Linked DNA regions of Notamacropus eugenii. The protein of the gene in region 1 purifies or fractionates together with the protein of each later gene. This does not show direct contact. Links are inferred from orthologs where the notes say so. Each region holds a gene or a part of one and is shown on either strand. Other genes may lie near its edges. The genes, in order: CAV1 and KCNA5.

What was found.
Region 2: the proteins of CAV1 (region 1) and KCNA5 purify together in Homo sapiens (affinity purification with western blotting, with the first as the bait; 3 studies listed by BioGRID). This does not show direct contact. The link is inferred for Notamacropus eugenii from reciprocal best matches to the Homo sapiens genes CAV1 and KCNA5.

The regions. Positions count from the first base shown.
Region 1 is NC_092874.1:136,579,623-136,596,067, reverse strand, and holds the start of CAV1 (caveolin-1), read left to right. Parts: upstream 1-8,298; 5' UTR 8,299-8,567; coding exon 8,568-8,597; intron 8,598-9,251; exon of another isoform or gene 9,252-9,335; coding exon of another isoform or gene 9,336-9,359; intron 9,360-10,266; coding exon 10,267-10,431; intron 10,432-16,445. UniProt on the Homo sapiens protein: May act as a scaffolding protein within caveolar membranes. Forms a stable heterooligomeric complex with CAV2 that targets to lipid rafts and drives caveolae formation. Mediates the recruitment of CAVIN proteins (CAVIN1/2/3/4) to the caveolae.
Region 2 is NC_092874.1:192,644,010-192,660,684, reverse strand, and holds the start of KCNA5 (potassium voltage-gated channel subfamily A member 5), read right to left. Parts: upstream 6,344-16,675; 5' UTR 6,055-6,343; coding exon 4,225-6,054; 3' UTR 1-4,224. UniProt on the Homo sapiens protein: Voltage-gated potassium channel that mediates transmembrane potassium transport in excitable membranes. Forms tetrameric potassium-selective channels through which potassium ions pass in accordance with their electrochemical gradient.

The DNA.
Region 1 (16,445 bases):
CCTAGTTCCTTTGACTTCTGGAATATCCTATTCCATGCCCTTCAATCCCTTAATGCAGAGGCTGCTAGATCTTGTGTTATCCTGATTGTATTTCCACAATACTTGAATTGTTTCTTTCTAGCTGCTTGCAATATTTTCTCCTTGACCTGGGAACTCTGGAATTTGGCCACAATGTTCCTAGGAGTTTCTCTTTTTGGATCTCTTTCAGGTGGTGATCTGTGGATTCCTTGAATACTTATTTTGCCCTCTGGTTCTAGAATCTCAGGGCAGTTTTCCTTGATAATTTCATGAAAGATGATATCTAGGCTCTTTTTTTGATCATGGCTTTCAGGTAGGCCCATAATTTTTAAATTGTCTCTCCTGAATCTATTTTCCAGGTCAGTTGTTTTTCCAATGAGATATTTCATATTATCTTCCATTTTTCCATTCTTTTGGTTTTGTATTGTGATATCTTGCTTTCTCATAAAGTCATTAGCCTCCATCTGTGCCATTCTAATTTTGAAAGAACTATTTTCTTCAGTGAGCTTTTGAATCTCCTTTTCCATCTGGCTAATTCTGCTTTTGAAAGCATTCTTCTCCTCATTGGCTTCTTGAACCTCTTTTGCCAATTGAGTTAGCCTACTTTTCAAGGTGTTATTTTCTTCAGCATTTTTTTGGGTCTCCTTTAGCAGGGAGCTGACCTGCTGTTCATGCTTTGACTTCATGTATCTCATTTCTCTTCCCAGCTTTTCCTCTACCTCTCTAAGTTGATTTTCAAAATTCTTTTTGAGCTCTTCTATGGCCTGAGCCCATTGGGTGGGCTGGGACACAGAAGCCTTGCCTTCTGTGTCTTTGCCTGATGGTAAGCATTGTTCTTCCTCATCAGAAAGGCAGGGAGGAAATGCCTGTTCACCTAGAAAGTAACCTTCTATAGTCTTATTTCTTTTCCCTTCTCTGGGCATTCTCCCCAGCCAGTGACTTGACCTGTGAATATTCTCCTCACACCCACCTCGCCTCCTGATTCTCCCAGCCAGCGTTTGGGGTCTGAGATTCAAATGCTGCTTCCAGCCTCAGGGCTTTTGGTGGGGGCAGGGCTGCTATTCAGTGTGAGATTAAGTTCAGGTGCTCAGGTCAGGGCAGGGCAGCCTCTCAGGCTCAGTTCCCTCAGGGGGTTTATGCACAGACCTTCAACAATGGATCCAGGCTCCTGCCCGCCCAGGGAGCCCTGGTCTGCCACCACCCCTCAGCTTCTGCCTCCCGAGGGGGCCCGAGCCATGGGGGCACCCCACTCCCCTCTCGACCCGCCAAAGAGACTCTCTCACCCACCCCCGTCACCTGTGGGTGGAGGGACTTGTGCGGCCGCTGGAGAGCCTGTCCCTGAAGCCTGCTCGGGTCTGTTCCTCTTGGTGCCACGGCCGCAGCAGGTCTGGGCTGGGCTAGGCTCCGTGTCTGCTGCGCGAGGGACCTTTTGCGAGAGGTTTGCAGGTCCCTCTGGGACAGAAATCTCCTTCGCTCCACTGTTCTGTGGCCTCACTGCTCCAGAATTCGCCATGAGTTACTTTATACCGATGTTGTATGGGTTGTGGGTTCAGAGCTATGTGTATTTGCGTCTTTCTACTCCACCATCTTGGCTCCACCCCCCCCCAGATTTCTTGACCCCAAATACAGTGCTCGTTCTAGCTAAGAAGGTATGTGTATATCATATTCAGCCATGTGTCACACCATATTCAGTCTGGTTTTAAAGAGAATTACATCAAAAGTCATTTAAAATTAAAGTTATAACACTTAAAAGAATTAACCCTTACCAGTCTGTGCAAATTAACTTATACCTTGAGAGTTCTGGATGGCTAAGGTTGTTTCTGAGAGAAGATGGTGACTCTTCTCTTGAAAGCTTTTAGAAACATATTAGGTTCTTATCTATCTTAAATAATTTAAATCAGACTTGCATTAAGGCAAGGGAATGACCTTTCAAGAATCTTTGAATTCTAAGACTCTATAGTCTTAAGGTCTTATGGAATGGCCTTTCACATAGAGAAGGTTTTCTCTATGTTTCACATTTAAAGTTTAGTTTTGCTTTTTTACCAACCTGCCTATTTACTAGACGAATTCTTTTTAAATGAGTTGAGAAAAAGTTCACTAAGAATAAATGACTATAAATGGAGTAAAGATGGAAGTAAACTGTAGTGTATTAGCTGGATTAAAATTTGGAATATTGAAAAGCTCTAATATCTTAGAGTCACTAATACCCAATAATGCTTTCTACTTTATCGATCAATCAGTCAATCAATAAACATCTATTAAGTGCCTATTATGTGTCAGGCACCTTGCTAAGCACTGTTATGTATAGATTGCTTTTTTCTATATAGAACTAAAACTGGCCATCAATTCTGTTTTTGTTTTAAATCATATAAATTCAATAAAGAAAAGAAAGTCAGTCAAGTAGGTTAGTAGTCCTGAGTTGTTAACTTAAATGGCTTATTGTTTTACCGATTTTGCTTTTGCTTTTTGGATAGCTGTTATGACATGCTTTGAATAATTATTCCAAAAACACATCTTTCCTGAGAACCGGCAGTCCAATCCTGTCCTCTACCGACTTAAAGAAAACAAAATAATTAGACATACATACCTTGATCATATAGTCATGGATTGAATCATATCACAGGATTTAAAACAAGAAAGTATTGTAAAAGTTGTCAATTCCAAAAAAAAAAATACAGATAAGGAAACTGAGGACCAGAAAAATTATTATTTACTTTCCTTCTCTCTTCATCTCCCCAGCTAATAAACATTGTTTGGATCACTAAGAAGTAAAGAACCACTGGAAATTTTTAAAGAAAGTAATACTTACCAATATACAAGTCAGAAAGATCATTCCACTGATGGCATTTTGGAATGATTAGAAGAATAAAAGACTGAAGGCAAGGAAGTCGTTGAGGAGAAAATGCTGATGGAAGTTCAGAATTTTAAAAGCAGGACTTAGGTCTGAGAAAGGGAGAGAGAGATTTTAATGATGCTAATGGGAGAAGACTTGGGAGGACTTGACTGCAGTTTGACAATAAAAAAGGTAGTTAAATGAATTGTAAGAGATGATTCTGGAATTGCCTGCTGGAGGGATTATGGTTTCTTGTCCTAGGGAATCAGAAGTGTATAACAGCAGGATTTCAGGTAGCAGGTGATCAGTTTAATCTTTGTTGTTCTGAGATTGAGGTGAAGGTAAAAGGGCCAAGCAGATATTCTAGTAGAACAGTCTGGAAGGATGTTTGGAAAACTTATCATATATGAGTCAGTTTCATACAGGTAAAGTAAGAAGAAAGAACAAATTGATGGAAAAGGATAAAGAGCTTAGTACGACCCTGGAATACGCCACAAGAACCTCTGAAGAAAAAGCTCAAAGGCAGAGATTAGTAAGAATTTTCAGGAAGTGCTTGGAAGAGAAACCAGAGTGAGAAAGGTGGAAGGAACTAGTTAAGAAAACTGGAAACACTAGAAATAGGTGAGAAACTTCAGAAAGCTGAATTTTTAACGAGAACATATTAGCTAAAGTTGATTTCTTGAAGATAAAAGAGACATGAGGAGCCAGTCTGACAACTCCAACTAGTCTATTCACTTTGAGAATTCTGGATCTTGATTATTATGAACACCTCCCCTCATCAAGCCTATTTGTTTGGGCCTGTTCCATTTCCTACACAGCTATTTTGAGTGGTCTTCCCTTTAAGAAGTTCAGAGGATAGTTTAATTCTGATGTAGTCCTGGAATTTATCCCAGAAATGGATTTTACCTGTCTTCAAAGAGTCAGCACAGCAGAGTGAGGGGAAGGCTAAACCTGTACTCAGTACCTGGGGTCTGGATGCCATTTCAAATGTTCATTCACTAGGTATTGAACTGTGGGTAACTCATACAATCCTGGACATCATCATAGGCTTAGGGCCAGAAGATCTTTAAGAGGCTATCTATTCCTACCCCCTTATTTTACTGGATATACATCCGAGGCTCACGGAGTTTAAATGACTCCATCATGCTCATAAATCTTGTATCAGAGGATTTGAACCCAAGTTTTTCTAATGACAAAGCCAATACTCCGTCCCCCTATGCCAATTTCCCTTTCCTAAATCATCTCACTCCTCAGAGCCACAGGTTCTTCAGCTTTCAAATGAGGTTAATGCTACTGTCAGTGTCTACTGTTGTGAAGAAAGTGTTTTGAAGACCTTAAATCATTATGTAAATGCATTATTATTTTGTAATCCAACAAACTTTCAGAGCTGGTGTGCCAAAGCTTTTATTTCCAATTTTGTATCTACTCCCTTAGAGAATTGGCTGAGAATGTGTGAAGCAAGCCGGGGAGAGGAAGATAGGGGTTGGCACTTCTCCTTTGTGAACTGAGGATGTAGACAATGGGAGCCAATCCTGTGATAAAGAAGCCTCCATGGTGCTAAGTAGCCCTGTAAATAGGGGATTCCTCAGGGAAATACTTTCTGAGCCTCTGACTTTTGATCAGTGAAGTAGTATAGTAGGCCCAAGTCAGACTTCCCTGAAACCCTCCCCCAATTTATTATCTCCTTTAAAATGCAAATATTTCTGGGAGTAGTCATGCTTTAAGCTCTCAACTAACAGTTTCATTTTCGGATAACATTTTGGCAAATTTTACTTGATCCCAACTTAGGACAAGAAAGTAATGCTGAATATGTAGGGTAAGATATGGAAGAGAAAGTTTGGGTGGATAAAAGGCTTGGTGGGATACCAAAGATTAGAACTACCAAACAACTTCACCTAAATCAGGCAGGCTCCATTACTTAAAAATAATCTCCATAACTACATTTAGCATATGTACTCAAAATTGTTCACCTCTTTTATAGTCATTTATTGATGTACATTTTTAAAAAATTGTAATAGTGGCAACATGGCACAGTGACCTCAAAGTCAGAAAAATCTCAGTTCAAATTCTGTCCCTGACATTGATTGTGACCTTGTGTCCCTCTTGGAGCTTCAGACAATTCTCTAAGATCATAAATTGAAAAGAAAGTGCCCATTTGCATTCACAGAGAATGAAATATTAACCTCAGGGCCTCAGTTTCCTCATCTATATGAGTGGGTAGGAATAGATGATGTGGGAAGTACCTTTCAACTCTAAAATCCTGTGATCTATGATCTATGGTGCTACTGCTTATTGAAAACAAAGTTGGATCTCCTTTACAAATCAGCTGCCATCTATTCATTATTCAGTAATCAAAAGATACCTAAAGTTATCCTTGTGGGTTTTCAAGAAAGAAGAATCATTCCAGCTCTGTAACTTTAATAATTCATCAAACACGGTCATGCTCTCCAGTCATAAGCATTCTTTATCACAGCCTCTTTTCCCTTAAAAGGGTGGAATTATTTAGCAAAGTTTTTGATTATAAGGAAAGTAGGGTTTGTCTTCTGCAATTTATACACACCTTCAACTTCTTCTTGTTGGGGCATGCTAATCAGAGTTCAATATTTTTTTTCTGCTCATTTGTAATTCACTTGGCATTGACAGTGCTTCACTGATCATTATCATGATTTCATGGCTTGGCTATTTATGACTGTTTTGCATGGGCTTCCCCAGTCAGATTATTATTCTTCAATTTTGTATTACTTAAACATTCACTAAGAGGCCCTCCCAGAAAGCAGAGTTCCTCTGTTGGAATGCAGGAACAGGCTCATTTCATGTTCCTGTTGACTTTTTATAACCAAGATTACTCATCACAGCTGAAGTTTGGGGAACAATAGATGGAAAATGGTTTCAACATTTTTTCCATTGAACATTATTTTACAAAAAAATGTGTTCGAAGGAACTATTAGTTCTGCTATTAGTACTGATATTAATTTAGGAAATACTATAATAAATAGATAACATTACACATTTATGTTGTTTATGCTAAATATTATGTGACACATTTACATGAACTAGATATGATTCTTTTACAGCAGCTTATACACGTTTGTGAGAAATAGACAATTTGGCCATGCAGGAAAAGATACAAGGTACAAGGGTAAAATTAATAAAGCCTAGGATTTAGAGAAATCAGAATCATTTAAGAGATTATGCAGCCTCACTCAAGTAACACCTCCTCCTAATAACATTCTCCATGAAACCTTTCCTAATATCCTAGACCCCTCTGACCTCTTATTTTCCTGATGTAGTTGTTTTTGTTGTTGTTGTGTTTGTCCTTAGTTCTCAAAGAGGACCATGACATCAAGATGAGGACATGACTTGCAGTTGACTTTGATTTGAATGAGGGAGGGCTGTACAAGGTCACCAACTTCACTTTCTTCTCCTGAACCATCTGGGTCCAGTGGCCTGATATTCATCAGGATGACTGGAGGACGCCAAGCAAGCAAAGTGAGACCCTGGTCCTTTCAGGCTAAGATCTTATCACATTCTCACTTTGAGTGAGATACACCCATTCAATGAATAGGCTTCTTTAAGTAGTTACTCAAGGGATGGCCCCTTTAATAAAAAAAAAAAATCAAACTGGGAGGGGAAGACCTTCAGGGTTCCTGGGTAAAAGAGAAACAATTACTATTTAGTAATTACATTCACTCTGTGCTGGGTGTTGGGGATTAGTGATGGAAGGAATTCCCTTTGTCCAGTTCCCTTCTCTTACATTACTTTATCATGGGGTTTGCTATTTGCATTCCATATCATCTTGTATTATTCCCTGATTATTACATGTATAGTAGTATCCTCTTCTTTCCAAATAGATGATAATCTACCAGAGGGCAGTATATGGATTATATATTCTATATTCTATAAGTGCTATTTCTTTTATAACTTCCCATAGCACCTAACTTGGATGCTGAGCACACACTCTCAATGACGTGGTTTCATCAGTGAAGTTCAATCACCAGGACAACCCATCTAAAAACTGGAAAAGTTGTCTTAGTCAATAAAAGGTTAAATAACTTGCCCCGAGTCACACAGTATTAGCAGCATGATTTGAATTCAGGTCTTTTGACTTCAAATTCAGCATTCTATGCACTTAGGACATGTAGTCATTTTATAATATTGCACTGAACTGAATTGCATGTACCTTTCTCTAGGTAGTATCCAATGGAATTTTTTCTTTCAGTTAAATATATCACTCTTACTTTCGCTAAACTGGGTTTAAATATGTAAGCACGCATTTCTTTCTAGTTTTTGCAGCTGAGTTCTATTTATTGCTTAAGGGTCCTAAAGGTCTTAAGAAAAAAATAGCCCAATTTGGATGACATCATTATTTCATTTCTTATAAAACAGTAAAGTATCCTTCTCTTAATAAATTAGGGAGATGATAGATTAGATAGATGACAGATAGATAGATAGATAGATAGATAGATAGATAGATACATAGATAGATACATAGATAGATACATAGATAGATGATAGAAGGGAAATGTATTTTATTTGATAAGTAGTGAACAGTCTCTGACTCTTCCTGGTTGTATGACTCCTGGGCAAGCCATTTACCCTCTAAATGCCCTAGGTCTCTGTCTTAGACCATAAAAAGGTGTGGGGCTGCTTTTCTCAACAGAAAATTCCCTAAACTAGTAAAATCACGAGTCCAGTCCCTATCCTAAATCGTAACCATCCCTCCATCCAAACTCTAGCCCAGCAATAAAGTCGCAGGTTTTATTTTAATATTATTTTAGTTACGACTAATACTGTAATATATCGTACAAACATAGCATAACCTGTGGCGTGTTTTCCCCTTCATTTAGAGAAAATCAGCAATAAAAGTAAAGAACAGTTCAACATTTGCATCACTTTGAAATGAGCCAGGGGGGACATATATAGGTTCGCTCTACAAAGTGGTACAAAGGTACCAAGTTTCCAGACGAGGCTAAACATATGTAAACGAGGGTCACCGAAAGCATACACACTCTAACACCCCGACTTTTTGCTTCAGTTTAGGAGATGTAACTAAAATTTTCCACCCCTTTTTCATCACCTTTCCCCTTCCAAGCTGCTGAACAACGCTTTTTCCTGGGGGAGGAGAGATAAAGGGGTGGGGTGGGGGTAGGACCTTGCATTTCGCCCCTCAGAAGTGGTCAAGGACACGCTTAAAGCCTTCTGCCTCTGCCGGAGGTGCCCTTCCCTCTTGGGAATCCCTCACTAAACTTGTTCCACTTCACACCCTCCTGCTGGTGTGATGCACCAGGAAAATATTCTTGTTTTTCAAGCAGGCTCTCTTGGATCGCCTTGGTGGCTACACGGCTGGGAAAATGTTGCCCCAGGTTTAAAATAAATGCCTCGGTAAAACATGGATAAAAAGCTCGCTCGCTCCTACTCCCCCCTCCCTCCTCGGGCCCTCCCGGCTGCTCCCGGAGTCATTGGGGATGTGCCTAGACCCAGCACCGCTGTCATCCTGGCCAAAAGCAAGCCGAACAAACCCCTGGCCCGCCGCCAGCTCTCTCACTCGCAGCTACCTCCCCTCCCTAACCTACCCCACCCCCAACCCCCACCGAGATGTTTTTTCTTTCCTTTTTTTTTCCCTTCCCATAATACAGGATCTTCCTTCCTCAGCTCCCTTAAATTATAACCCAGGGAAATCTCCACCAGAACCTCCCTCCGTCAAACCCAAGGCAGAATGTCTAGTGGCAAATACATAGACTCCGAGGTAGGATTTGCTTCGTCTTCGGGGAGTTTCTCAAAGCCCCAAACCCCCACCCCCACCCCGGGCACGAGGTGCCCTGCGGCCGTATGTCCCTCCCTGGGAGCGCCCGCCGGCCGCGGCCATCTCCAACCGCTGCTGGGAGCGCTCCCACTGCCTTTCTTTACCGCTCTCCCTCTTGACCTCCGACAGTCACTGCTAAGGAGCGGGCGTCGGTCCGGGGAGTTTCGGGGAGGAATCGGGGCTGGGGGGAGGGCAGCGCCCAAACTGGCTATCTGCTCCGTTTGTGGTTGGCTTTCTTAGGGAAATCACCGAGCAAATTGCTGGAGGGGGGGGGGGTGGAAGAGGTGGACGGGATAACCTTGGGGGCTCCCCGACTTTACGTCTGCCAGAACAGAGATCCACCTCCTTGGAGGTTTTTCGTTATTTGTTTTCTCTCTTACACCCCCCCGCCTTTTACCAGCTGCCCGGCTGATAGCGCTGGGGCGGGAGGCTGGAGTGTCTGGGAACGCGGGGGGACGGGAGGGGCTGCGGGGGCTGTAGCTTCCTCATCCAGCAGTTCTGGGCAAGCACTACCCGAACCCAGACCCTGGCGTCTGGAAAAGCTTAACTGGGGCGTTGGCGCGCGCTCTGTTTGCTCTCCCCCAAGTCCTTGATCCCTCTCTAAAAACTCCTTAGGAATGGAGTTTGCAAAGGGGAGATTTCTCCCAGCTCATCCTCCCCCCAGAACCCAGACCCACATTTATGCAGAACAATTTTTTCCCCCAAGTCAGTGGCCGCGGCGCCTATCAGAGTTAGCGGAAGGGGGAGGGGGTACGCTGCTGCTAAATCGGGGGAGATGCGATTGGAATTTAGGGGAGACGGGTGAGATGTGGGGAGGTGGGCTCGATCTTGAGATTCTGTGAATTCTAGGAGGTGAGGGTGGGAGTAACCTCTTGGGGTGAATGGGGTGAGAGGGGGTGGGCCGCAATAGATATCTCTAAGCTTTAGGGCTACCTGAGAGCAGTCCAGAGAGCGCTAAGGTGGGATGCTAGAGGAGGGGCCGCAGGTGCACGGTTTAATGGGGGCTGGGGTTTGGGACGATGAGCAGTGAGTGACCCATCGCTCTATCGGAGAAATCCAGGGTTAGGGGAGGAAGCTACAGGTGTCAGAGACTGGGGGGAGGCGACCGAAGCAGGTAAGGAAATCCCGGTAAGGTGAGGCGCCCTAAAGTGGGGCCAGGACCAGGGTTGAGCCCAAGGCTGCCGGAGCTCTCTGGGCCAAACACGGGGCGCTGAATACAGGGAAGGCGAGGGAGTAAAAGGGGGGGGCAGTAGGAGAGATTTGGGAGCCGGACGTTTGGGCTGCGTTTGCAGATGACCCCTGGCGGCAGGAGCGGGAGTCGGGCTTCTCCGCCTGGTACCGAGGGGTGTGGTGTCGTCTTTTCTATCCTTTTAAAAAGCCAGTCTCCCCGTGAAGTTGACTTTGCTCTGAGCAAGTCGCAGTACTTGCCGCAGCTGCAGCCGCCGCCTTTCCAAAGAATAAGAATCACCCTTCTCTCTTCCTTAAGCTTGAGAGCTTTCCCAACCTCCGGTTGACTTTTGTCCGCTTGTTCTGCTTTTTTTTTTTATTTCCAACCCCCCCCCCCCCCCTCCCCGTCCCTACCATCACCACCACCCCCACCCCTCCTCCCTAGGGGCTTCTCTATTCGGCGCCCATCCGGGAGCAGGGAAACATCTACAAACCCAACAATAAGACCATGACCGACGAAATGAACGAGAAGCAAATGTACGATGCGCACACCAAGGAGATCGACCTGGTCAACCGAGACCCCAAGCATCTCAATGACGATGTGGTCAAGGTAAGGGCTGGGCTGGGCTGGAGGGAAAGTGACCTGAACAGGTCCTTCAGGCAGGACCCCCTCAGGGTCGCACTGATGGATGAGGGCACTGGGAGCCCAGGTATCAATTATATTATATTGCCACCTCTGGGACTGATAGGAGTAATCCGCTGAAAGCTCATGGAAAAGGCAGAAAATGAATTTTCCCCTTCTCTTTGCCAGGTGATTTCAGCCTAACCCTAACCCCTTAACTTCCACTGAAGTCTACTTGTAGCCAGGCATCCTAACTACAGAGAACTGCATAGGCAGGCTGCTTCTAGCTAAGGCAAGGCTGTCTGCATCCACTCTGATGCCTTGAAGAACTACTTGAACATTGGTACTCTTAGGACGCTACTGTAAATACCTATAGGCATGTGGAATACAAACACAAAGTTGACAGGATCCTGAATTAAAATAAATGTTTTTCTTGAAAATACTAGAATGGGTGAAAATGCTGTGAACCAGGAAGGAGTGAGTGTTCCAGTGAAATGCCAAGCTCTAAGTTTTTAATCACACAGTAAGTGTGCAAAAATCTCAACAGCCTGGAGTCCATCGCACTGGGGAACCAGCTACTTTGTAATCGGTACTTTCATTTATGATTTCTTACATAAATCTGCTCCTGAATCTCATGGACCAAAATGAATCCTTCCGCATATACATGCAGAACATTAGTTAAAAACCAGTGAGCTGTCAAAACTTTTATCAACAGTCGGCATTGTTTATTACTATTATTGCAAACTTTAACCACATTTTAAGCAAATGTGGTCAGAAGACTGCATCGTTAGGACCCATTTGGATTGAGTAATTGTGCATATTACTGTTACTTGGCAAAGGGCTTACTTTTCTGGGACCAAGAAGGCCAAGGAGACCTCTTGGCTCAAGATAGTAGAATCTAAAGCCACTGCCCTGCAAAATCCTGTGACTGCAAACCTGATTAAAATAAAACCATTTCAAGTCATCCAGGACTTGTTACATGAGGATCGGAGTTGGGAGGAGTGAGATTTCTGTAACTCTTTGTGTTTATGAATAGCATATTTTAAAAGGGGAACATTTTATTCTGTACATGTGAGGAAAATGAGCATATTGAACTTAATTCCCTTGGCATGAGGGCAAAAGGGAAGTAGTAACTGGAAGCTTTTAAAGATTTTGCTGGTAGAGCAGAGTATGGAATATTAAAAAAAAAAGCAATTTGCAATAATCTGAAAATTAAAACTGCTAAATTCTGAATAAATTGAAGAGAACGTAAACCCACTTATCTCAAATTATTTTAAAGAGGAGGATAAAGATAAACTTTATTAAGTTTTTCTCCCTTATTTGGCTTTTGATAAGAAGGTCAGTTGCTAGGTAGAGCACTAGCACTGTAGAATTCAGGAAGGAGGTGCTTCACTGGTTATTTTTTTCTGCTCATTTGCACTGTTAGTAGGAGTCCCTGGAGCAACCAAACTTTCTGAGGATGAGTCAGAGCTCCCAGGCTGTATGGAATTTGGGTCTCCACACACTGCATGACTAAATAGAGAAAGATCCCACTGGGAAAAGAGACTTAACATAGATGGAAAAAAAACATAACGGTCTTAGAGGAAATTGAAGTTTACAAAACAGGACTCCAAAGGGCAATTATTAGGAATCCTCAGACCAAATAAATTAAAAGCAGGTGTTAATGTGTGGCCCTGCCAGCCTCAGAATCTTGTGTCCCGCTTACTTGCTGGTAGGACTGAGCAAAACACAGTAAAGAATTCACTATCATAATCATTTGTCTGATCTTTATGACTTCAGGGAGGTAAATAGAAACTTAAATGTGTGCATCTAGAAATTTAAATTTAAATACTGCCTAAGCAACAACTGGTCAAAGTTGATCCAGGACCTTTTTTTCAGAGTATCCAAGATAGAAAACTTTAAGATCACCTGATTACCTACAGCACAAATTCCTTCTTTGGCATCTCTGAATCAAGCCTCCAGTGATAGGGTCTTAGAGTCAAGAAAGAGTGACTCTTTTAAGAATTTTTGGGGCCAAGAATTTAAATGTGATTATGAAGGCTGGAATAATCTTTTTCCTGTTACCTTGACCCTAGAACTTGAGTTTTTCTTACATCAGAATAGGCAACCCATCTCCCAACTTTAGAACACCTGAGAAGTTCATGTTATCATTACGCTAGCCAGCCTCATATTAAAAATGGAAACAGGTGGAATGGAAACAGATCAAATAAATCTATTGTGAAAGGTAAAGGACTTAACAGGGCAGAGGGAAGCAACTCTACATTCAGAAGATTCTCATATCACATTTTAAAAATAATTCTGGCTGATGAGAAACGAAGGAAACAGCTCTGATATAAAATGTAAAAAAGTTACACAGTTACTGAATATATACTTAGTATACTTTCAATGCCCAAGCTAAGCTACATAGAAATCACAAGAAAAATCAGAATATTTTAAAAAAGAAATTAGTTTTCTAATCTATTCCTAAGTTCAAGGGCCTAGTTACCTGGCTGTATGAGCATAAGCACTCAATATCATAGAAACTGGGTTCTTGACTTCCTTCAATAAATGAGCAATTATGTTTGCTCATCAGATATTATAATCATAAAATTTCAGACAGCATTATCCAAAAAAGTAAAACCTGCTGTGTCAAGCTTCTGCTAATTAAAAGGGATGTAAATCAACGTGAAATTTTGGCAGATGACATTTTTCTAGCCTTCACACAACTGGTTCAAATGTTTTATTTGCACTCAAATATGGAAAGGCTCTGTGATATTCTGGGTACCAGGGATCTCTTTTCATTAGATTACCCAAATTAACCTCTGATTTTTCATATGTACTAGAAAATGGAAGGGATCTGTGATTTTATGGTGGTGGGAAGCCTTCCTCTTCTTGATTACCTAAACAACAACTCTTATGTGGGATTATATAGTAAGTCCTGGGGAGTTGCTTAAGGCACATAGTGGTTAATCAATACACCCTGGAACATAGCACTAATAAGTGTCAGAGACAGGATTTGAAATCTAGGTCTTTCTGCCTTCAAATCCAGCACTCTATCCACTCTACCAATTGGTATTATTTGAGTATTCTTGTAAGCCATCAATTTATAAAAGCTTGCCTAGAATTGAAGAACTAGTTGTCCTTATAATCAAATACAGTGGACTATCTCCAGAGATAGTCAGTAAACATTAAAGTGCCTGCAGGCACTCTGTGTAAGGATATTCATCCTTCAGTAGCCTGCATTGGGCTAAACACTGAAGAGACAAACAAAACCATCATCTCCAGACACTCACTATCTAAGGTAGGAGCTGGCATGCAAAGAAAGAAGGATACATATTTTCACTTTAATGTGAACATTGAACTTCAGAAATATATTGAAAAATTAATCAAAAGTGAGGCATTCCAATCACACCCAAGTGCCAAGGCATGTGTTTCTCAACATTGTTAAGTTTGTAATCTAGTCTGTTTTCTGTGAATTCAAGCATTGTAAACCAAAGAAAAGTTTTTACCAACACCATGGGTTTTGCTTTGATGAAAATGGATGAAATTATCCATGGCCAATTATAATAGAGCCTTATACAAGAAACCTAATGACTTTAAAAGATAGAAACTGTAGTTGTTGACCAAGAAACCACTTTATCTTTCCCTCCCTCCACCTTAGCACAAGGAATGACCATGGGTTGTCTATCCTGGAATGCCTGTGAAGTGAACCCTTCACTATAGCTCATGGTAACTCTGTGTAAGGACATTCATCCTTCAGTAGGCAGAAAAGCAGCCGTACTCATGCCAGTAATTGAAAAGTGAGATCATTCCACAGCTGTACCACAGAGATGTTAGAGGTCCAACCCATCACTGAAGATCAAGATTCAGAGAGAGATCCGTTAGGCTGTGGGTTTTTCCACAGATTTTTTAAAACCATCTTTGTGAGTTAATTGTGTATGTGGTAAAGTATGTTTCAAGTTTGCTATCTGGAATAACAGTGGAGTGTGTAGAAGTGCTCATCTCCAAACTAGAAGTATGGGTAAGCATAGGCCAGGATTTATTCACCTATTAATTTTTTGCTTCAATGCATTCCGTTGAATATGTGTCTATTTCCCAATTTCTATTAATTTGTTAGGGTACAATGACTCCAAAAGAAGAGAAATTTACCGAGGTGTATAATATTCAAAACAATTAGCTGCTCAACATGTGGTATTGATTCGCCCTTACCAGGTGATTTGCTATGGTTAGGCTGCAGAAGAATTAATAACTTTACCATGAACATAGCTGAATCACCAAGGACTGGTTGTTCCTCGGATATCAGCAGCCAATTTCCTCAGTGACTTTAGGTTAAACTTATTTGAATAGCTGGATCCTTTTTAGATTCAGCAGCCAGCTTGTATCAGCTCACAGGAGCTAATGGTTACATTTTCAACAAGCATTCACACCTTGGAAACTGGGTAAATGCTGCAAATCAAGGCTTGATGTATTGTTTTATTGATTTTTAGATTTAAAGTTATGGAGAAAATATTAACAATGCAGATTACACATAAAAGTGTTCTCCACCCCCAGGCAGGTGTCGAATATTTACTGGCACACTCTGGCTCTTTATCGTATACATGTTCTTCCTCAGCTAGTAGTGATTCTAGAGTGGCAAATAAGATGAACCGAGCAGTGTCTAAATAATTTAAATTTTGTGAAAGTGTTCAGCTACAGCGATGTAGTTAATACAAGTTTTCATATGTTCTTGGGCCGTGTAGTCCAAAAATGATTGAATTTAGTCCCTTGCTTAAAGAGCCCTTGCAACAAGAATTGCTATTTTTTCTGAAAACTCATTGTCAGTTCTTGAAAAAGCTGCATTACCTCTTCTTATAGCAATTTGTATCCAACTCTGGAAAATTATTCCAAACTTTATTTCTGAGACAGGGAGCTAAAACTACTATTTATTTTCTATTCAGATGTGTTATTGAGTGGTCCATATGAGAAGATGCAAGTCACGCTTGCATCATAAAAATATCATTGCTTATATTTTTAGCATCTACAGTTTTTAACTTAATAAAGGGCCAGCAAAAAGCTCATACAGAACATTCCTGGGTGGGACATTTATATCATTTTAAGGTCTACGATGTGCGTTTTGTAGATTATACGTAATAGGCACATACTTTCATATATATTCCTGTAATGGTTTTAAAAATTCAGGACTAGATGAATACATTGTCGATACTGGACACAGGTGAGGGTGAGGAGGGATTCCAGCTTATTCACATTTTGTTGTAGTTGGAAGGGACTTTGGAGACCTTCTTATAACAAATCTAGTTTTCTTTCTCTTATATCACGGCTACTTTCTATTCCAATGGAGGATTCATAGAAAGGGATAATGAAATGTAAAGGTATCACAGAATTTCAGTGTTTGAAAAGACAGAGATTTTCTTTTTTTTCTTTTCTTTCTTTCAAAGATTGTGTCACCCATCTCACCCAGATTAGAGGTACAGAGACTATTCATGGGCCCAATCCCACTACCCAAACTATTTCTGACCCAAACCAGTTTCCCCTTCCTTAGGTAACCTGGTACTGGTTCGTTAATATTGATACAAATTTAGTACCAGCATTGGGGTGTCATAACCCATGACAAGTCAAAATTCCTGAGCTCAAGAGATCCAAGAATCTCAGTCTCTTCAATATCTGGGATTACCAGAGCGTGCCACGATGCCCAGGCTCATCTAACCCAACTATACCCAAATAGGAAACCCAAGTACATCATCCATAATAAATAATCATTTTTTAGCATTTCTTTGAAGCTTTCTGGTGAGATGGAACCAGGGTTGTGCTGGGCCAATTCTGCCTAGCTCCTGAGAGCCTCTTATTAAATTTTCAGTGTGAGCATTTTCTACCTCAGAAAATGGCCAACGGAATAGTCAGGACTATAGTTATTCTTTTGTTGCTTATGTAGACTTAAAAAAATGGTTGGTTGGTTGTTGTCCTTTGTTCTCAAAGAGGACCAAAATGACATCACCATGATAAAGTGAAGTTTCAGTGTGTCCGAC
Region 2 (16,675 bases), about 56 Mb from region 1:
GGGTCATATAACTAGTTGGTGTTTGGAGCTGGATTTGAACTCACGTATTCATGATTTGAACACCACTCTAGTATCTTTCCTAAGAAAACCCCAAATGGGGTCACAAACACAACTGAAATGACCCAATAATTACGTGTCTGATACATGGTAAGCATCAGAGAAATGTTAGCTGTTGTTATTGGAACCCTTAAAGATTTTCCTGTTCTGCAAATGCTTTCCACTCTTGTATCTAGAATCATACAACTCAACCATTATATACTGACTTGTTTCCTGCCATTTCACACATCTTTTATTTCCCATTGATTTCAGGAACCATGCCATCTTCTTTGTATCCCTCACAACATCTGACACAGGGTTGGGTCCATCGTAGGTATTTACTAAATTTCTATTGATAGACTGATAAAGGAAGTGGGCAAGGAAAGTCAACAAACAATCTCTCAGTTCTCCCTCAGTTATCGACAAAGCCATTATCAGTTTCCTGTCTGGCAAAGTATAATTGCTGTGTTATTACTTTAGTCTTCTGTCCCTCACACCAAGGGAAATGCTTTGCTATACCCTGAATACCACAAATGGAAAGGTCTTTAACACATATTAAATTACAAGCCCCAGTGAAATTGTAATTTCCTAAAAGACAGTGATTATGTGCTCCTCCCCACCCCCCACACACAGTGAGTTCATCATAGATTTGACAGCATGTATTCAATGAATATTTATTATCTCATATCCCAAAGACAGATAAAGGGAATTCTTCAGACATTAAAATTAATGACCAGGTAGACTTGATTGACCAATGGGGAATTTTAAAAATCAATATGGTACCTTTTAAATTTGCTTTCATAGAGTACAAGAAATCTCAAGGAAACTAGTTCTTCAACCCTGTTTGCAGAGTACCTGCTGCTAGCTTCCAAGGTAATCATAGTTCCTCCTAGCAAACTAAGAACCCTGTCCCATTAGCCAAAGGGAGATAAACCCTTTGGTCACTAGTGTTCTCCAGGGTTGTCACTGGCCTCCCGGAGACATTGGATAAAAGAGTCAGTCATATGGCTGCAACTTAAGACTTCTGGTTAGATTCTCATTGCTGATCTACCTTGTTACCTCAGTGTAGTTCTTCTGGTTATAGATCTTTGGTCCCCCCAGATCACTATCACCTTTACCACCAAATCCCACACATCCTACATGAAATATATATCCTTTGCCTTTTTTCCTCCATCCTCAAAATGTGATTATTATGAATGAAATCACATTTAAATCACATTTAATTTAAAGTTTTCAGAGATGTAGCCTGCCATTATTGGCCAAATATATGCCAAACAAGATTATGATTCCTCATAATCAGACCAGTAAAGGCCTATATGCTAATCTCTCTATTCCATTTGACCACCTATTTCTTAAGGAACAAATGTTAAAATCAACAGTGATCATTGGTAGTGATGGTGCTCCCCTGCAATCTCTGCTACTAGGGAAGACTGATACTGGTATTTTGCTTGAGTTCTAGAGTTTTGAGCTACAGTAGAGCTAATGCTGATTAGATGTCAATGCCGATTGGGTGTTTGACACCAAAATGATGAGCCCTAGGGAGTGGAAGGTGATCAGACTGTCTAAGGAAGGAAAAAAACAGCTCAGGTCAGAAAAAACTAATCTTCTGTGATCAGCATTTCGATAGAAGTGAGCAGCTGCTGCATTTCAAGCCTAGGTAACAGAGGGATACCCAGTCTCAATAAAAACAAAGAAACAAAAGCCAAACAAATAAATAGGTGAATAGACAAATAAATGAATGAATGATAAATAAATGGATAGTCAAATAAATAAATGAGCAAATGAATAGTCAAAGACAGACATACAGATAGATGGATAGACAGACAGATAGATAGTTTTGTTTTTTAAATAAAATTAACTGTGACTATTTTCCCTTTGGAGTTTCTGGGAAAAGGAAAAGATAACTGAAAAGAATCTAATTGCACTCTCAGTTTCATACAATCCATTCCAGAATTGCCAAACTGTATAAAAATGGAAGCTAAGGGACTTGAGTGGACTTGAATATAATTTGGTATTGGGTTTTGGCACTGCTGCTTTTCCTTTCTTTTAACTTGCAAATGAATGTGCTGAGTTCTGCTTACATTGGGTTTTCTACTCCTCAATTTGTATGTTAACACTTTCTGACTGAAAAAAAAAAAAGCCCACATCTGTCTGCATTATCATAACCACACCTTTTATATATTTATTTGTGTAGCTGTCTCGTTTAAATGCAAATTTCCAAAATTCATTTAAGCTTAAACAGCTATGTGAAGACTTGAATAGAAGTATAGGGGCAGGATCTGTAATTTCAGTGGTATAATGAAGTTCCAGGTGAAGAAATCCCTTTACCAAGGCAGGTAAGATTGACATTTTCTCTGCAACATATAGTCCTAGAAAGTTGCCCAGAGCACTGAGAGATGAAATCATTTCCCCAGGGTCACTCCATCTCTATGTATAAGAGGTAAGTCCTAAATCCTAAAAAGCTAGCTTTGAAGTTTGCTCTCCCTCCACGATATACCACACTGTTAGACACTGCACTGTATAAAACCAGGTATTAGCTTAGCCATTGTTATGGAGAAAAGAGAGCGGGAGGGTTAAGGATCATCCTCTGACCCCTAGGGAGGATTTAAAAAGTCATTCTGTGGATTATTTAACTGAGGGAAAAGCAATATCATTAATCCAGAACTCCAGGGCAGACAGCTAACACCAGAGAGAAATTTCTGTACATGTATACTTACTTTGGTATTTAGCCACCACCTCCCTGCCAGAAAGAAACAAAGAGATTCCAAACTGAGGGATTAAAATCTCTAAAGGCAAAGCAACAAGCTGCAGAAATCAACATTTAATGTGAATGAGCAGATCCTCTACATTCCCTGTAGCCACTGTATGTGGTAAAAGCATAGCACAGCTATCCCCCATACCATGGGGGGCTCTCCATGACTCCATCAAACACAGATCTCTTAGTGACTCCATGGTATGATAAAGGTCCTGTAGACCAGACTTCATTGTCTGAGAAGACTCAGTCTTGGTTCTCAGAGCTGTTCAGTGCTATGTTAAGCAGAGTTAAACCCTGAGGGAAAGAGAAACTTCAGAACGTCCAGGAGATTAGGGGGGTGGGGATGGGTCCGTTCTCCTGTTTCTTTTTTCACTTGATCCACATTGCCTGGTAGATGCTGAGTCCAAGAAGCACAGGTTCTTGGCAAAAAGCTTGTTAAAGTGATATCTTTACTGAACACATTCTGAGCAAATCAAAGAATATTGTACCTCACAGATTATCTTTCAAAACTATCCTTGCAAGGTCTTTGCTATGAATTCAAAACCGAGAAGACAAAGAGATTATTTTTTAATCACACACAAAAAAAATGATCAACTGTGGAAAAACAAACACTCCCCTCAATAAGGTAATGTTTTATTTCTGAGGATAAAAATCAAAGGAAGGAATTCTAAGAAATCTTCCTCCAACCTCATTAAAATGTGCAAAAAGAAAATCACACTAATTATTTAAGGCTCACCAAAAAACGCAGACTTGCCTTTCTTTGCAGAAAGTGTTCCTTTTCTAGAGCTAAAGCATTGAGTTCACATCATATCCAGAGATACACAAGCCTGTGGACATGAGAATTAGGACTGGCTTATGCTGAGAAACAAGTGTCTGTATAAGGAAGGTGCTGGTGAAATAGTGGTTCCCAGAAAAGCAACAGAAACTTTTTCCATCCATAAGCACAACATATTTATATAGAAAGAGAAAATGCCAGAAATATCTGAATTATAGTATAAAAGTTCCTTTCACCTGTCACACAAAAAATAGCTTTTCCCCCTATATTCAAATAAATATACTCAAACTTGCAACAAACATATCTGCAGTTTACAAAATCCCTAGCTTTTTCTTATTGGTTGTTTTTTCCAAAGGTTCTTGTCTGCATTTTCCCACTAATGGCTAAAAGTGACCAGGACTGCAAATACATACATCTTACTGCACTCACCATTTCAACAGTTTCCTGCGTCATGGAATGTGGTACTTTTTAAAAATAAGTGACCCTTTGGTGTCATGGAAAAAAGAAGGGGGAAAGAGAGGGAGAAGGAATGAGGGAGAAAATCAGGTTGGAGAACAGTCTTTGTATAATACTCAGTGGTACAAAACAGATTTCCACTATCAAGATCCCTCGTTCTGTTTCTCACTCTTAAATCTCCGCCTGGCTGTCTTGATGTCTTCTACAGATCTGTCTCCTGGCTTGTGTCCAGACAAAGGGCATAGAGGGATTTCCTTATGTCTACATTGCTTTTGACTTTAAGATTGCATTTTTCCGTGGGGCAGCTTTCTCTGTGAGCCCCTTCCATGTTTTCTGGGATTTTAGTAAAGGACCCTTTGCTCCCACTAGACTTCAGCTGATTCACACTGTCCTGTATTGAGCCCTGGCCTGTGGGGCTGACTGGTTCTTCCTTGAGGACTGCCCTTTCTTCATTGTCTGTCTCCCGATGATAGAAATAATTGAAGTTGGAGACAATGACAGGCACTGGCAGAGCTATGGTGAGGACACCTGCAATGGCACACAAAGATCCTACAATTTTGCCCCCTACCGTCACTGGTCTCATGTCCCCATAGCCCACTGTAGTCATGGTGACCACTGCCCACCAGAAGGCATCTGGGATGCTGGAGAAGTGGGTGTCCTGGTTGTCAGCCTCTGCAAAGTAGACAGCGCTGGAGAAGAGGATGACTCCAATGAAAAGGAAGAAGATGAGGAGCCCCAGCTCCCGCATGGAGGCCTGTAGGGTCTTGCCCAGGATTTGGAGGCCCTTAGAATGGCGGGAGAGTTTGAAGATACGGAAGACCCTGACCAAGCGGATGACCCGCAGGATGGCCAAGGACATGGCCTGCTGTCCATTCGAACTGCTGCCTCCTCCTACTCCCCCTGGCTGTTGCTCTGCAAGCTCAGTGCCCAGAGTGATGAAGTAAGGAAAAATTGCAACCACATCGATGATGTTCATGATGTTGCGGGAGAATTCCGCTTTACTGGGGCAAGCAAAGAAGCGTACCAGAAGCTCAAAGGTGAACCACACTACACACGTGGTCTCCACAATGAAGAATGGGTCTGCCAGGGTCCTGGGCATCATAGGGGCCACTGTGGGCCCCTGAGGCAGAAGATGCAGCTCCTGACCACCACCTCGGCTGGCGTTAGCGCTCTGGGGGTGAGCTGGAGGCTGTTGGGGTAGCGGCGGATGGTGAAGCACTTCCCGTTCATCCCGGAACTCAGGCAAGGTCTCAAGACAGAAGGTGATGATGGAGATGAGGATGACCAAGACGGAGACAATGGCGATGCCTCGGGCTGAGCCAGAACTTTCCGGGTACTCAAAGATGAGCCAGACCTGCCTCTGGAACTCATTCCGGGGCAGTGGCTTCTCCTCCTCTTTGATGAAGCCCTCATCCTCCCTGAACCTTTCCATAGCTTCGTCCCCTAGTTGGTAGAAGCGGATCTCGTCAGCAAACACGTCCAAAGAAACATTGACTGGCCTCCGCAACCTGCCCCCCGACTGGTAGTAGTAGAGGATGCCGTCAAAGCTGGGTCGGTTGCGATCGAAGAAATACTCATTGCGCAGGGGGTCAAAGTAGTGCAGACGCTTGGCAGGGTCCCCCAAGAGAGTGTCCGGGAACTGAGCCAGGGTGCCTAGCTGAGTCTCGAAACGCAGGCCCGAGACGTTGATGAGGACACGTTGATGATGGAGGGCAGATGACCCTAATCCTTCACCCTCCGACATGCCCAAGGTGGAGCTTGTCTCTTCTTCTTCTTCCCCCTGTCCAGGAGGTTGCTGTCTCACTGCCCGAGGAAGTTCAGGTAAGGGACGTCCACCTAGGCCGTCGCCTCTCCCCCCACGACCACGGCCAGACCTCCTCGGCTTCCCCTCCTTGGCTCCGTCGTTGAGCTGCCCAGTCGCGGGACTCAAGAGCTCTTCCTCCAGGTTGGGGCCGCTGCCTCCCCCAGCCTGCTCTCCTTTCCCGATGGCCGTGGTGCCTCCGTTCTTCAGGGTGACCAAGGCAATCTCCATGGGCCAGGGCCAGAGGCATGCTGCGCCCCCGCCTCTTGGCTCCTCCGTCACACTCTCTCCCTGTGCCCTCCCCAAGCCCTCTGTTAACCTCCTGCCTGGTCGCCCGAATCTCTGCGAATGCTCCCTGCTGGGGTTGCCGGAGCGACTCCCAGTTAGTCCTGACGTCAAGAAGCTGCCCTGGCTCTTTTCTCTCTGCAAGCTAGTCGGTTACCAAGCAGCATAAAAGCTTCTTTGCAAGCAGATGCAATCTTACACTGCGCTCTCCATCAGCAAGGCACTCAGCCACCACCCCCTGTAGTTCCCTCCACCTCTTTCATTCTCTTCCTCCCCTTCCCCGCTTCGCGACTCTCACTCCCTATAGCTCTAGCTAGTCCTGCCAGACAAGCGGCATAACATCACCCCCACCTACTCCCTTCCCTCCTCTCCCAAAACACTGGGGGCGTCACCCTGTGCAGAGGCACAGCTGGAGTTAATGGTTTGGGAGAGCAGGGAGAGAGCAGGGAGAGGTGCAGAGGAGGAGCACAAGTTGTGTACGGGAGAGAGACAAGACTCCCCTGGGCAAGAAGATGAGAAGAGCTTTGTGTGATTCTGCTCACCTGGGATTCTGCAATACGCTGGATGGACTTAGGCGGGGGAGTGAGAAGGTGAGAATATTGGGTCGTTCCACTATGGAAGAGATGAAAATGATTCTCATTCTCTCTCCCTCTCCCTCTCTCTCTCCCTCTCTCACCTCTCTCTCTGTCTCTCTCTCTGTTTCTCTGTCTCTCTCTGTCTCTGTCTGTCTATCTGTCTATCTCTGTCTCTCTCTCTGTCTCTCTCTCTCTCTCTCTCTCTCTCTCTCTCTCTCTCTCTCTCTCTCTCTCTCTCTCTCTCTCTCTCTCTCTCTCCCTCTCTTTCCCTCTCCCTCTCCCTTGTGTGTCCCTGTGTTTCTGTCTCTCTCTATCTCTCTTGTGTCTATGTCCCTTTATTTGTCTCTGTCTCTGTCCCTCTTCTCTCCTTTTCTTTATCTTTCAGCAGGGGTGGGGTTGACAGAGTCCTCAACTAGGGTTAAAATGATTCAAATGATCAACAATTTAAAAAACAACACCTTAACAAACCAGCAAAGAGACCTTTTCCATCTTTCTTACACTTACAGGTCAGAAATTATGTACTGTCTAACCAGGCTTCAACTCAAATGAGAATCCACATTCCCAATACATTTCTTCCCTAAAAGCAGCAATAGATGTACTTCCCTTAGACTCATTCAGGCAGCCCCAGGTAGGCAGAATCAAGGAAACTCTTTTTTTATTATTATTATTTTATTTATTTTTTTTTAATGTTCTACAACCACCACCATAAAACTTAGATTTATACCCCCCCCCCACCTTCCTCCCTCCCCAAGACGGAAGGAAACTCTTTGAATAACCACACAACTCTCCACTCTCAAGACCAAATCTTACCAGAATAGGAAAAAGGAGGAGAGGACTAGAGACCCCAAGAAGGATTGAAAATTCCTTATAAAAGTTGGTTACTTCCTTTGAATATTTTACAGTTCAAAGTACTACATTTGGAAATAAAGGTTCTGTATAAGTGGTGAGTAAGGGAAACTCTGTACCTGTTTCCCTATTTGTTTTACGAATGAGATATATAATCCTGCCTCTCCCTGCCAAACTACTCCCAGCCGCAGCTCCCCATTTGTTCAGTGTAAGCTGGGTGTCACACTACTGCCAGGCTCTACTTACTACCTTTATTCCAAATACCTTACTACCTTGAGCAAACCTTTAGAATTTCATTTCGAGGACTTTCTCTTGGACTTACTTCCCTACTTACTTCCCAGTAAAATCTTAGGTCACTAAATTCTAGGGGCAGCTAGGTGATTCAGTGGATAGAACACCAGTGCAGGAGTCAGGAGGACCTGAGTTCAAATCTCACCTCAGACACTTGACACTCACTAGCTATGTGACCTTGGGCAAGTCACTTAACCCCAATTGCCTCATCCTGGGTCATCTCCAGTCATCCTGATGAATATCTGGTCACTGGATTCAGATGTCTCTGGAGAAGAAGTGAGGCTGGTGATCTGCACAGTCCTCTTTCACTCAAAACAAAGTCAAGTACAAGTCACGCCATTACTTCACTGATGACATGGTCTTCTACGGCAACAAAGGACCAACACCACACATGTCACCAAATTCTATCTGTTCTTTTTTTGAACATTTTGATATCTACTCTCCATAGATTTAAGGCTAATGTCAGAGTATTCTTGACTTTCTTCTCTTTATCATAAATGTTAATATGGAATGCTTTCTTCCCTACAATGTTTCTATCATATACTTCACCAATTTTTCCTTGTTGATCAGAAATGGAAACTAGGTTCACTTACTCACCACTTATAAAGAAACCCTATTTCCAAATGCAGATTAACCTGGTACCAACTACTCTGAACTGTAAAATATTCAAAGGAAGTAATCATCTTTTATCAGGAATTTTCAATCCTTCTTGGGATCTCTCCTCCTCTCCTCCTCTTTCCTATTCTGGTGAGATTTGGTCTTCAGAGTGGAGAGTTGTGCAGTTATTCAAAGAGTTTCCTTGATTCTGCCTACCTGGGGCTGCCTGAATGAGTCTAAGGGAAGTACATCTATTGCTACTTTTAGGGAAGAAATGTATTGGGAATGTGGATTCTCATTAGAGTTGAAGTTTGGTTAGACAGCACACAATTTCTGACCTGTAAGTATAAGAAAGATGGAAAAAGTCTCTTCATTGGTTTGTTAAGGTGTTGTTGTTTTTTAAATTGTTGTTCATATACATACGTATGTGTGTATATTATGTATCTATATATACATGCATATGCATGCAAACATGTATGTATGTATGTATGTATACATATATAAATATATACACGTGTGTGTTTGTTTATTCCTGAGCGTGGAATCAGGAAGACTTATCTTCCTGAATTCAAATCTGGCCTCAGATACTTACTAGCTGTGTGATCCTGGGTAATTCACTTAATCCTGTTTGCCTCAGTTTCTTCATCTGTAAAATGAATTGAGAAGGAAATAGTAAACTACTCCAGTACTTTTGCCAAGAAAACCCCAAATGGGGTCACCAAAGTTGGACATGACTGAAACAACTGAACAAGGACAAAAAAGGATGGAGAGAGAGCTCTCATGTGGCTCACACAGGTATCTATGGAGGTATATAGATATATGTGTGTTTGTGTGTTTTATTGCTGGACTTTCCCTTTACATCACATTCCTCCTTCTGCCACCTCTAGATCTAATCCTCTTTTGGGTCAATGAGTTTTGCCCTTTGGGGGCAAACAATTAAGCAAAAGAATCCAATATAGTAACTCCTTCTGATGAGGTATCCAGTATTCTGTCCCCACCCCACCCCCATATCTCTCTTTCCTGGGGACTGGAGCTCATGTCATCAGTGGCTCTCTCAGAGAGTCACTGCCTTTTCAGTTGCTAAACATTTGAGATGCCCTTAGTGATCTTTCATTTGCATTTTTGTAGTCACTATTTGTATCTTTTGCTTATTTCATGCAGCATCAGTTCACACAAATCTTTCCATATTTTCCTGAATTCCTCATATTCATCATTTATTATAACAGAATAATATTCCATTACAAATTCCATTCTGTACTATTCCATAGTCAATATGTGCCCACTTTTTTCCCCAGTTCTTTGTCACCCAAAAAGTGCTGTGAATATTTTGGTATATATTGGGCTTTTGAATCTGTTTCTGAAGTCCTTGGAGGGAGAAATCCAGATGTAGAATTATAGGGTTAAAAAGTATGGAAGTTTAGAAACTCTTCTTACATAAATCCAAATTGAAATCCAGTATCCTTACATTTTGAATGGACAGTTCAGATAGATACATAGATACATAGATACATAGAGATAGATACATACATACACACAGAGAAGCATAGATATATGTATATATGCACACATACATATTGTTATATACACATATGTAGCTATATATACATATATATTTGTATATATATTAACATTTCTGGGCAATTTTTCTGTGTGATTTCTAGGAAGATCTTCAGATTTTTTTCATATTATTATGCCTTTGAAGATTTATTATTCTTAGATTATTTCTTCACATCTTAACTTCAAGTTCAAGATAAAATTCTTACTTTGTAGAACTCTTCTGTGTGTTTCTGACCTTACTTTGAAAAAAATGATCACATTATTTTTCCTTGGGCTTCTGCCTTTTTTCACTTCAGTTTTCTTGTCTTCTATTACAGAGAGTGTCTCTGTCTTTTGTTCCTTTTTGTTCTAAATTGTCTACTTTCTTCTTTTGCTGATTTCCTCTCTTACAATTCTAATTTCTGGGCTTCAAAAAATCTTTTCATTTAATTTCTCCTTTAAGCTCCTGGCTAGATAGCACAGTAGATAGAGTGGACACCTGAGTTCATGACATGAGTTCAAATCCTGCCTTAGACACTTATTAGCTGTGTGAATCTGGGCAGGTCACTTAACCTCTGCCTGCCTCATTTTTCTCAACAGTAAAATGAGGATAAAATAGACTTGTTGTAAGGACAAAATGAGATAATGTAAAATTCTTAACACACTGCCTAGTCCAGTGCCTGTTTCTATCTTTCCTTCCTTCTGAACCGTGCTGGATGTTCTTAGAATCATTCTGTTGTCATTTCAGGGGGGCTTACAGAATTTATTGAAGTATCTTCACCTTTTGGGAGAGAATTTTGCCAATTTCCTTTCTCGTGAGTTATGTGAAGAGATTGCTGTTGTCTTTAAATATTCATTTCTCCTTTGTCAGCAGTTATCTGTTTTTATCAATTACTCTTTTGATTTTTTATAATGTTTTTGATATAAATACGCTTCTTTTATTGATGATCTTTTCCTTTCAGAAAGCCTAGGATCATCATGCCTCTATATCAGTCTTTTATCCTATTCTGTTCTCTAGAAGGATGTATGAGGTGTTCAAGGAGGGCTAACACCTCTGGTGCTAGTGTGATGACTTGCTGATTCCTTTTCAGAACTGCTTATGCACTTTTGTGTCCACCTTCACCCAAGTCTCACATGTCACTCCAAGAAGCTATAGCATGGGCAGCAGCACACCCTGGTAAACCATCTCAGCAGATGGGCTAAATTAGTTTGAGGGTAACCACCAGGACTCAAACCCTTTGGTGAGTTAGGGGGTGTCTATGACAAGTACGTGCAGACTTTCCCTAGTAGAATGGGCAGATGAGAATAATTTTGTTGATGAGAACAACAATGTTGGATTTTTTAAATTTTTATTTTCATTCTATCCCCACTTTAACAGTTGGCAAATATCTGTGTGTAAAATATAATTTCTTCTAGTGACATTTCACCAAATGGCATTTCTTTAAGACACAGATCTCATATTGAGTAGAATTGAATGTGCTTTCAAATTCAGCCCTGCTACACTGAAATTATGGGAAATTGGAAAAGAAGAATAGACATTTAAAGGTGGCTGATGCAGGCACTGCAGAGCCCTTAGACTTTGAAGACTCCAAGGTCCTCCACTGCATCCTGGACCATTGCCAGTCATCTCGACTTTTGTTTTACCAATGGACTTTGATGACTAGAAGAGAGAGTGAGGCTGATGACTTTGTACCACTCTGCCCCACTTAAATCCAATTTAGCTGCAAGTTACGACATCTACCATGATATCATTGGTCCTCTTTGAAAACAAAGGATGAACAACATATTCTCCAGAGCTCTATATTCTCTTGCTTTCTAAGATACTCATGCAGACGTACCCTGAGAGGTTATCATAGTTGGGTCTTTTCTCTACCTTTATCAGTTTCCCTCTTCAACACTTTTCCTTTTTCTCTAAAATTGACTTTCCTAACACTTAAGCTGAAGAGATTGACCATGAAGGGGTTGGAGAAGGATCACCCAAATGAAAGATGCTTCAACAAGCCTTTGCAAGTGGATGTCTTGTTCAATTTTTCACTCTCTTCATCTTGCTGCCTGTGTCTTTCTCTGCTATATTGAAAAGTTTCACAAGCGTTGCACTGCTATGCTACTTATTCCTTAAAATCTTGTCCCCAAGGTTCAATTCCTCCATAACTGGTTAATTTCTTCTTTCTTGTCAAGCCTTAGATCTAATCCAGGGGTGGAGAACCTGTAATCTTGAGACCATATAAGGCCTTCTAGGTCTTTGAGTGCAGTCTTTTGACTGAATCCAATTTCTACAGAATAAATCCTTTTATTAAGGGAAATTGTTCTATGAAGTTTGGATACAATCAAAGGGCCATACTTGATGTGGCCTCGGGGCCACAGGTTCCCCATCCCTGGTCTATTCTATTTCATGTACTTCAACTTGTCCTGTAGCTCACCACTAATCCATTAACCTGAATAATCAAATATCTAAAATGGAAACAGTCACAAGAGATTGAGAAACATAGAGCTGCCCTGAAACAGTGTGGTTGTGGACAATGGGAATGCCAGAGTGGTGATTCAAGGCCTTAACTTACCCTGACGGTGACAAACCTGCCACCTTCTCCAGTGTTGCTAATGTGTCAGCTCCATGAGGAACACAAAGCTGCCTAGGTCAGCATGATCTTGGAGGGAGAAGTCACCCAAGGAGAGGTGTCCAGGAAGCAGTTGGTGATATAGAATTTCAGCTTAAGAGATTTCAGCAGTCTCTCCTGTCTGGGAATGTCTGCCTTTTTTCCTCTACCTCATAGAATCCCTGGTTCATTACAAAGCATGGCTCACTTGCAACCTCATCCGGAAGGACTTTCCTGATATTTCCAGTTGCTAGTGTTATTCACCCCAGAACTTACTTTGTACTTAGTCCATATATACACATGTGCATATATTAATATAATGATATATTATATGTTAATATGATGCAATATATTATATATTTCTATAATAGAATATATGTTAACATGTTATATGTTACATGTACAATGTTTATCTACATAAATGCCTGCATAAACATATGTGTATTTGCCTTGTATAACAAAAGCTTCTTGAAAGATATGCTTGATTTTTGTATAGTTATCCCTTCCACATCACAATTTTCCCCATAACTATTTTGGCATATCTTGGGCATAAGAAATTAAATGGGGATTTGAGAGAAGTTTTGCAGAAGCCACAGACAATACACAAAGGCAGCAGATGACACAGAAAAAAATGAGAAACTCAGAAATGCATAAAATATATGGATAACATTGTATAATATCAACCCAAATTTTACAATAAGGTACTGTAAACCTGCATAAAAGAAAAATAAAAAATTCGGACTTCTTCTCTGGTATGAAGAAAGAGTCAAAAAATTTTACATGGATTTTCCAGATCATGGGGGCACCATACCCCCTAACCCCTACAATATGGAAGGGATAGCTGTATTTGTATCCCCAGAAACTAACAGTGGAACTCAATAAATGTTTGTTGAATTAAACTGCCTTCAATTCAGATCCCAATTCCACTATTTAAGTGACTTAAGTTACTTTGGGTCTTTGGGTCTCAATTTCTTCATTTGAGTTATGGGAAGAAAAAAGGCAGGGGATTGCACTAGATGACCTCCATGGTACCTTCCAGTTCTAAAATTCTTTGACCTCTCCATGATTCTCAGAGTGTTCCAGTGATCCTAGGTTTGAGAAAGATTGTACTTTCACAATATTCCCCCACCATGCAGTGGAAAGATGGAGAGGGCTCAGATGGGAGCATAGGGCAGGGTTAGACAGAGTCAGAGAGGAAGCATTCTATGCAAAATTTAACTTAAAAAAATTTCCTTTAAAAAAATAAAGGCTCTTTATCAATAGGCCCTGTAAAACCTGGGACTTCCAGTCACCTACCAATTCAGTTATGATTATCAAGAAATATATCATCTAAGAATGCATTAGCATTAAGATCATATACTATTATAATCATAAAACTATGATTACTACATTACTTATCTAAAAAAGGTGAAGTTTTCTCTCTTCTAAGCCCCTCATCCCAGATGTATCCAGCTTAGTTTTCTGTCCAAAAAAAATTCAATAAAAAACTCCATAAAATATTTCAATGTTTTTAAAAGAGTAACTTTTTTTCTTCATTTCCCCTTCCCTTCTAATTTTCCCCTTAATTCGTTATTCAGGAAGTAAAATCTGGAAATGATCTTTCTTTCTCACTGTGGTTTGATGAAAACAGAGGAAACAGCAAGATAAAGGCAAAAAAGTGTGACTGAGAAGAAGGTAAAGAAAAGAAAAGGAGAAAGAAGGAGAGGAGGAAGAGAAGGAAAAGAAAGAAGAGAAAAAGAAGAAAAGGATGAGGATCAAAAGGGGATGAGAGAACTGGTTCTTCAGAGAGACCTCAGGGCAGATCCTTTTATTTCCTGTTCAGGAGGATTAATTTTCCTGGATTAAAGGTCTGTTTTAGGCCATTCACAAATCAAGCCTCACATCTGGAACTGGGCTTTTCCTTTCTCTCCCTCCCCAGATCCAATTCAGAAGTATTCATTAATGACTTCAGTATATTTATAGTTGCCATCCTTTAGGTTAGAAATGCTAAGCTGGATTGAGTGAGCCTGAGGGGGCAGGTGCTGATTTTAAGAGAAGTTGTGCATTTTCGCTCCCATATTCTCTTTTTAGACAGTGATAGTTTCAAATTGAAACTAAAACATAGTACCCAGGAGATTTGGTTTTTTTGTGGTTTTCCTTGCTTTCCCATGTCTTTTCTTTCTTCAGGACTCCAAAAATTCTCTGATTTTATGAGTAGCCCAATAACCATAAAGACTGAACCTCAAGAAGGTCTTCATGAGTTGTTGTGGCTAAGAAAAGGTTTAAAATGTCCTCATTTGGTGAAGAACCTTTCTGAGTTTTGTTAGACTGGTCCTGGATAAATAACAATTCATAAAGTCCTGGAGCATCGCCAAAACTGTTCTAACTGATAGGACTTATTGGTATTTGTACTGTGTTGGTGTTGCCTTCAAAAGTTCAGTGTCAACTTGAAGACAAATTCAAGTATGACTATTTGTGAACTAGCTCTCTCTCTCTCTCTCTCTCTCTCTCTCTCTCTCTCTCTCTCTCTCTCTCTCTCTCTCTCTCTTTCTCTCTCCTTTCCTCTCTGTCCCTGTTTCTCTTGAGACTTCAATATTCTATTTCCTATTCTTGAGAACTCACAGTTTTTGAAATAATAAAGCATAGCTCTGTTTGTCATTGGCCTCTATTTTACTTTAGTCTCCTTCCTTCCCTATGGTCTTTCCTTTCTCTCTTCCTTCTTATATCTTTCTCTCCTTTTATTCCTCCCTCTCTCCTGCTCTCCCTCCCTTCTTCCTTCCTTCTTTCTACCCCTCTTTCCTTCCCTCCTTTCTTCCTTCTTCCTTCCTTCCTCCTTTCTTCCTTCCTTTTTATTTGTTTTCTGAGTCTCTGTTCTGGGGACTTAGAGATAAAAATTATAATATTTTACTTTCAATGGTTTTCTATTTGGGTATTTGCCAGCTTATTAGGAATGGGATCTTAAGTGCATTATGTTAAGTCCTAGGGTTATAAAGATGAAATAAGACCTGATATCTATCATTTAGGAGCTTACAATATAATAATGACAATATAAGCATAGTAAACATATCTCTCTGTGTTCACTGTGCCAGATCCAGGTTGCTACATCTCCCCTTCTGGGTTCTATGAATACCCCTGAGGAGTTAGGGGTTCTCTTATTTAATGCCATTAACTCCAACTCCTATCCAGAGTACCAGTTACACAATGTCTATGGATGCTCCAGAGTCTTTCCAAGGTACCTTCGTTAAATGTCATCATGATTCTTCAAGAAATCAATTCCCCAGTCTCTCCAAAGGAAGGCATTACATCTGCAGAGGATACTGAGGCACTCTGTGCAGGCTCTTAAGGTTTGGACTTATTGGCCAGTCCCCCATTAATACATAAGAGAAGTTGAAAATATAAATTCCCCTTCCCCACCTGAGGGTGAGGATGGGGCTGAGCCAGCACCAGATGGGCATTGAGGGAGGAAGGATTTAGGGCTTATAACATACAAACAAGAAGGATATAAGGCAGAATATCATAAGAGCAACAGAAAAGTCTAAAGTGCTTTTAGAAGTTTGGCGATACAGACCTTTATTAGCTACAGTGGTGAAGACAGGCAAGGACAAGATGACGATGGGGGATACTAAGTGGTAGTTTATCTGAAGCCTGGATATGGATGTCACAGACCTGTGTTTGAGTTCTGGGTCAACTCAGGGTGGCTCTCAGCACCTCCGTTGACTCATTGGTAGGATGAGGATAACAATATTGTTAACAACTTCTTTGTCTAAGCTGCTCTAAGTAAAATGCTTTGGAAATCACATAGTATTGCATAAGTGAAAGCTGTTATGATTCCTTGAAGTGGGGTAGTATGAGTTAAGATTGGAAAGATATGTTAAAGTCAAATTATTAGAGGAACATGAGGGTCAGGAAAACACGTATATACCTAACTTTATTCAGTAGACAATGTGGAACCCCTGAAGGTTTTGAAGCAGAGGGATTGAATGAAAAGCAAGTCATCTTCATTAGGAAAATGTCAGCCATGCTATAATTCAAGAGGTAGAGGCTGGAAACAGAGAGACCAGTTTGGAGGTTATGACACATATCCAGATAATTGAGAAATTGATGGTACCAGATACAGAGAATATGTAAAGTGAATAATTTAGGAAGGCT